Tribolium castaneum: one gene and its partner. The protein of the gene in region 2 binds, or shares a complex with, the protein of the main gene of each other region. Links are inferred from orthologs where the notes say so. Each region holds a gene or a part of one and is shown on either strand. Other genes may lie near its edges. The genes, in order: splicing factor C9orf78 and NiPp1.

Region 1 (3,242 bases), on a different chromosome or scaffold from region 2:
GAACTGTTTTGGTCCATATCCCTGCAAAATGATCCGGGGAATCGATTGGCATCGAGAAAATTGCCAAATTCCCAATAGTTTTTTAGTTATGAATTTTTTAAAATATTACCAATTTTTGCATTTAGCAGCAATTTGCTCGAAAACTATTAGTCGGAGAACAATAATCTTTTTTGAAAAAAATAGATAATTTAAAGAGCTTTCCAACGATAATACACTTCATGGGGTTATCTCTAATAGTTCCGGAGCTATTGCTCGACAAATGTTCCGGGTACCCAAAATCGACAAAAACTGCGACGAAAATTGAAAAAATCAAACATCAAAAAATCGAACATTTGGACTTTTTGTGGACTTTTAACAACTTTTGTGGGTTGTTAAGACATGTAGGAGTCCATAAAAAGTTCCTAGAGTTAGTTAAAAAAAAATTTTTGTTTCACCTCTTGAAGGTACTCAGGAAATTTGAGCAAAAAAAATTGAAAATTTTAAATTGCGTGAAAAATTAGTATAATAGAGAAAAAAAGCCGCTGAATCCAATGGAACAAACCGCATTGCTCTACGACTTTTAGTTTTTGAGTTATGAATTTCAAAACAACACAGTGATTATTTGCTCGGATTTTTAAAAGAAATAAAAACAAATCAAAATAAATAATTTATTCAAAAATAAAAAACACTACAAAAGGCTAATATCTCCTAAATTGTTTTTTGAACTTTTCGTAGTGATAATCATCGGTGGCCCTCTCATCCTTTTTCTTCGGCTTTTCCGTAGCCTCCTCCACTTTATCATCCAACTTGGCCTTCTTTTTAGCAACCTCTGCGTCTATATTAACTGTAAAAAAAGTAAAAAACTCCAAATATGAGCAGTTCTGCCAACTCACATCGATTGTGCTGCACAAAATTCACCGCCATATTCGTCGGCACAAAAGGCGAAGGCCCGTCCTTCTTATTCTGCTTCTCCCACAGCAGCCTCAACTTCGCCTCTTCCGTAGCTTCAATATTCTTAATCTTGGCCTCAATCCCCAGGTCCACTTCCGGAATCCCATTCAACATCTGATTGGACAACATCTCCTCCGACCTCTTCGTCGACGACTCCCTCAAATGGTCCGGGACTGCCCTCAAAGCCGCCTCCTCGGGGCTGGTGTACGCCGACTTGTTCTCAGCCTCGGCCTGCTCCTGGGGCTCGACCTTGCGCTTCTTCTTCGACAACTCTTCTTCAATAAACTTCATCATTTCCTCGTCTTCGTCACGTTTATTCGTCTCGACCGAAAACTGGGTCCCTATGCCAGTGTCGTACGCATCATCGACTTGCTTGACTTTGCCGCTTTTAAGGGCTTGCATGTTGACCATGCCGCCGGACTTCACCTTGAAAGGGTCCTTTGAAATGCACTCGTCCTCGATGGTGATTTTGGTACCTAGGGCTAGCCCCAAGGCGTTGACTCCATGGGGGCGCTTACGCAAGTTTTGTAACTCCTTCATTTCTTCTAGTTTGGTGCTAAAAGCAACGTTAGGGGAGGCACCACAGTGAAGGGGGTCTTGTTACCTGACCTCCTCCAGGTCCTCCTCTCGGTCACTACCATCCGAGGGGCGCCTTTGGCGCAGCTGTTTACGGTTTTTACGTTTAAAAACGGGTTTCGAGTCATTTGAATCGTTAGATTCGGTTTTAATCCCACTTGTTGACATGACGAATTTGAGGTTATGACGCCCCAATAACTACACCAAAAACGACCAAAACCACCACAAGACACTCGAGACTGGCTCACAAAACACAAAATAATTCATAATTCGTGTGGCACCATTAAATTAAAGCCACAATTGTGTTTTTCGCTTAATCGGGTTAGGGATTTTCGTTTTGTCGTTTAGTGACAAGTAAGCACCCCGTTTAAATTTCAAATGTCAAAAAAAGATTTCAAAAAATTTGTGCCAAAAATGGATTTGGACGACACACCGTAAGTGTTTTAGGCCTAAAATTACCAAAATAACACAAATTAGTCGTAGCGTTGTTGTTACAACATCACGGGTATACTCGGACGTGTTCTCAAACAAGCCCTCTTCCTACTTTGAGTACGACAACTACAACCCCCCGACTGACGATATCAACAATTACAGTTTGATTCGGAAAATCGGTCAAGGGAAGTACAGTCTAGTGTTCGAGGGGGTGCACGATGGTACTAACGATTCGGTCGTGGTCAAGTTGCTAAAACCGATCAAAAAACCGAAAATCAAACGTGAAATTAAAATTTTGGAGCACTTGAGGAACGGCCCCAACATTGTGAGTTTATATGCCGTGGTGTCGGTGCCTTCCACAGCTTTGCACGCCCTGATTTTCGAATCCCCGTCAAATAATGAGGACTTTAAGGAGGTTTATTTGAAATTGAGTGATTCCGATATCCGGTTTTACATTTACGAAATTTTGAAAGCCCTTGATTTCTGTCACAGCAAGGGCATAATGCATCGTGACGTCAAGCCGCACAATATCATAATTGACCGGAAAAATCGCAAAATCCGGTTGATTGATTTCGGTTTGGCTGAGTTTTACCGTCCCGGAGAACGTTACAACGTCCGGGTGGCGTCTCGGCATTACAAAGGCCCGGAATTGTTGGTAGAGTACGGTTATTACGACTATTCCCTCGACTTGTGGTCGCTTGGGTGCGTTTTTGCCGCAATGATCTTCCGTAAAGAACCTTTCTTCCAAGGATTTGATAACCGCAACCAACTGTATTGCATTGTTAAAGTGTTGGGCACGAGCAAGTTTTACTCTTATTTGAATAAATACAACATTGTGCTGGAAGGTAGCATGCAGGAGATGTTGGGGATTCACTCGAAAAAACCCTGGCAGAGATTTGTCAATACGGAGAATGAGCATTTAGTGAATCAGAATGCCTTTGATTTTTTGGAATCGTTGCTTTGTTATGATCACATGGAAAGATGTACGGCTCAGGAGGCCTTGGGGCATAAGTATTTCGGGCCGGTGAGAAGCTCGGGGGCTTTGCCAGGGTTGGATAAGCTCAAGGTTTCAGGGTCGGGGCAAGCGGTTCATTGATTGTAAATGTATAGAATAAAATATTTTTGTGTTTTTGGTTTATTTTTTTCAATAATGTAAGAAAAAAAAGGAGTACCCCTGGTGGGACTCGAACCCACAGTCCCCGGCTTAGGAGGCCGATGCCTTATCCATTAGGCCACAGGGGCTTGGTATAATTTAGTCTGACGCATCGTAGTTACGTTGCGTTGATTTTTTTCCATACATTAAT
Region 2 (3,628 bases):
TTTAACCGCGAGTTCAATGGAGTGATTTACTCCAAAGGCTACTACAACATGCCTGAATGTCGCTACGTGAACGAAAATTCCGAAATGACGAAATACCGCTTCACCGTCAGTTTGAACTCTTGTGGGACTGAATTTATCAACGCGTTTGATACTCAAGGACAGTCGTACCTGGAGAACGTCCTCGTGATCCAAAACGAGCAAGGGATCCAGGAGGTTTGGGACACAATCAGAGCTGTGAGGTGCCTCTGGGAGGGCAACCTGAAGGACTCCCTCAGCGTGGCGCTCAGCGTGGGGATGCTAAGCCAGGAGATTGTGACTTTCAGTGGGGACACCGCCATGGCCAAGCTGGACATCCAACTGGGCAAAGGCCCATTCGCGCCCCCGGCCAACGGTTTGGTCAAAATCGGGGAGCAAATGACCCTTGTTATCTCCGTGACCGGAGACCCCGGTTTTGACATCCAAGTCAAAGACTGCAGGGCTACGGACTCGACCGGCGACCGCGTGTACCCCCTAACCGACGAAAACGGCTGTATTCTCAAACCCAAACTATTTGGCGCGTTCCAAAAAACACGAAACACGGGAAATACCGGCGCTTCCATCATTGCCTACGCGTTTTTCAACGCTTTTAAATTCCCAGATGTGATGGATTTGATGATTCAGTGCAACATTGAGCTTTGCAAAACCGACTGTCAGGTGTGTCCAGAGCCCAACCAGCAAATCGAGCCTGGGAGGAGGCGCAAACGTGACCTTTCGTACTATAATAACACTGACGGGGTCACAATGGGGAAGCACCTGAGGGTCGTTTTGGCGGAGGATTTGAACGATATTGGCAATACTGAGGCCGCGTTTGAGGGGGAAGTTTGTATGACGACGCAGAATTTTCTACTAGTTTCGGCGATTTTGATCTCGCTACTCACTGCCAGTAGTGTACTAAGTGCTTGTCTCTGGTTGAAGAACCAACGGATTGCTCACAAAGGGTGACAACTTTACCACAATCCTGCCAATGTAGTTCCGTCCATTAAGTTATTGTGACTCCAGTATTTTATTTAAGTTTTTTAATTATCGTAGGCCCATATTTATGTAAATACTTGACTAATAAAGTAAGAATTTTGTAGCGTGGGGTTTTCTTTTATCAAGGTTGACGACAACGACAGACTAAATTTGTTTAATAAAAAAGCATAATTTTTTTGTATGGGACTTTATTGATTGAAATTTACATAATTTGAGGCGTAAAACTAGTAAATCATTACGATTCATTGTAAGCGATTAGTTCATAATACATATAAACGAAAAAAAAAAATGGTCTGGGTCAGGGTTTGAACCCATAACTTTTGAGTTGGTGTTGATCAGTTGATGATTCCTCGGTCATAAGCACTTTCGTACTACATAATAGCAGGTTTTCTCAAATCAATGCGGTGCCAAATCGGTACAAAAAGTTTAAAACAGTGATTTTATAACAAACAAACGATGGGCTTATTATTTGGGTGCGTTTTAATGTCGTTAGATTGACAAATAACGAGGTTGTTTTATTCGGCCTTGTGCAACTTCGGACGTAGCGTTATGTCACCTGCCAAAAAAGCGACAAATGGCAAACCATTATGAGGTGCCAAATTGGTAAATAATCCTTGAAAAATTGTGTTATTGGCCCCTGAACCCCTCACTTATCATTTCGCCCCCTTTTCTGTCACACAATCCACAAATCGTGTGTTTTTGTGTGTTGAGGTTATGCTGTTTCAGGGCAGGCAAGCCCCCCGTGGGTTTGCATTTGGACGTGCTAAAGGGCGACAAACTAATACAAAAATTGATGATCGACGACAAAAAGTGTTACTTATTTGGACGCAACGCCCAAATGAACGATTTCTGCATCGATCACGCGTCATGTTCGCGGGTTCATGCAGCCCTCGTTTGGCACAAACACTTAGATCGGGCGTTTCTGGTGGATTTGGGGAGCAGTAAGTGTCACGTGTGCGCAACTTAGGGCTTTTTTGTGTCAAGACTTGGATAATTTGCGTTGTTTTAGCCCATGGCACCTTCATAGGATCATTAAGACTTGAGGCGTATAAACCCACTCAGTTGCCTATTGATTCTAGTTTTCACTTTGGGGCGTCCACGCGAAATTACACGATCAGGGAGCGGCCCCAGACGGGCATGCGGCCGATCATTGACGAGATCGAAAAGGCGGGCGAGGAGACCGAGGGCGGATTGCTGGGGCTCCCCGAGACCGAAACGGAACTCGATGTAAACCACCCCAACCAGCGAAGCTGAGAGCTTTACAAAAAATATTTTTTTCCATAGAATTTGACGGAATTTAACACCGCCCACAACCGGCGGATATCAATGCTGGGAATCACCGACGACACGGAAAAACGCAACACCAACCGGAAGCGCAAACGCCAAGTCGTTTCCTTCAACGAGGACGAAGAGATCATAAACCCTGAAGATGTGGACCCGAGTATCGGTAAATTCCGAAACTTGGTCCAAACCACCGTTGTACCTTCAACCATCAAGAGGGCCAAATTCGCGGCTGAGAATATCGGAATCCCCACTGAATACAAAAATCCCAAAATCCTTCATCCCTCCGCCCCCGATTTGTACACAGACCTGCCCCCCGAATCCCACTCTCCAACCAGTTCAGGGAATTTAAGCATTTACAGTTCGTTAAGTTCACGCCTTGGAATGGTTTTACCCAATCCGGCGCCAGATGTCGACATGGGACAGAACTTCGCCCCGCCCACTCCCTTTGTCCCGCCCCAAGTACAAATTGCGGACGCCATGGAGCCCAAGAAAAAGAAGTATGCCAAGGAGGCGTGGCCTGGCAAGAAGCCCACGCAAACGCTATTGGTCTAGGATTAGGTGTAAGCTTTTGATGTAATTTTCTCAAGGTCATAGATTAAATATTCAATAAAAAACGAAAAGTAGTTTCTTTTATCGAAAAACATGGCGAAATAATTTCTGAATTCTGGGAAACAGTTTCAAACTAACACCAACTTGACAAAAATAGGTTTTTTATTTCACTACTTGATGGAATGCAAGGCACTCTCGATTGAAATATCAATCAAAAAATTAATATTTAATAATGGACAATACCTCTGCTGGCACCTTCTCCCGGCCTTTGAGCCCCTCGAGCTCCATTAGAACGAGACACCCTGCGACTTCGCCACCTGCCCCTCGCACGAGCTGGCAGGCAGCCCCTAGACTGCCCCCCGTGGCTAACAAATCGTCCACAAGCAGGACGCGTTGCCCCTTACTTATGCTATTTTCCTGAATTTCAACAGTGTCATGACCGTACTCGAGAGCATACTGCGCCGACAAAATTTTCCCCGGTAGTTTACCCTTTTTCCGAATTGGAACGAAAGGTATGTTCAAATCAATCGCCATCAACGGCCCCAAGAGAAACCCCCGAGCATCCAATCCCACGATACATTCAGCCGGGGGCTCAATTTTGCGTGCAAAAGACACCAAAACGTCACGTAAAATTGCAATGAGTTCAGGCTTTTGGAACACTGAAAACAAGTCCCTAAAAAGGGGTAATAGGCGAACTTGGGGGCGCGTTACCTGAAGAGGATGCCGGGTTTGGGGAAGTCGGGGTAGGACGTCACGTTGGCTTTAATTTGGGCGATTTTTTGGT

The links.
Region 1: NiPp1 (region 2) and splicing factor C9orf78 share a complex: the UniProt entries of both Homo sapiens proteins name them as parts of the spliceosome. The link is inferred for Tribolium castaneum from reciprocal best matches to the Homo sapiens genes PPP1R8 and C9orf78.

The regions. Positions count from the first base shown.
Region 1 is NC_087394.1:36,668,121-36,671,362, reverse strand, and holds splicing factor C9orf78, read right to left. Parts: upstream 1,675-3,242; coding exon 1,535-1,674; intron 1,487-1,534; coding exon 873-1,486; intron 824-872; coding exon 678-823; 3' UTR 634-677; downstream 1-633. Other genes in the region: casein kinase II subunit alpha, read left to right, coding at 1,885-1,940, 1,984-3,034. UniProt on the Homo sapiens protein: Plays a role in pre-mRNA splicing by promoting usage of the upstream 3'-splice site at alternative NAGNAG splice sites; these are sites featuring alternative acceptor motifs separated by only a few nucleotides. May also modulate exon inclusion events.
Region 2 is NC_087396.1:21,737,803-21,741,430, forward strand, and holds NiPp1 (nuclear inhibitor of protein phosphatase 1), read left to right. Parts: upstream 1-1,358; 5' UTR 1,359-1,585; coding exon 1,586-1,614; intron 1,615-1,737; coding exon 1,738-1,952; intron 1,953-2,020; coding exon 2,021-2,238; intron 2,239-2,295; coding exon 2,296-2,847; 3' UTR 2,848-2,915; downstream 2,916-3,628. Other genes in the region: EGF-like domain-containing protein 2, read left to right, coding at 1-981; Aprt (adenine phosphoribosyltransferase), read right to left, coding at 3,064-3,517, 3,556-3,628. UniProt on the Homo sapiens protein: Inhibitor subunit of the major nuclear protein phosphatase-1 (PP-1). It has RNA-binding activity but does not cleave RNA and may target PP-1 to RNA-associated substrates. May also be involved in pre-mRNA splicing.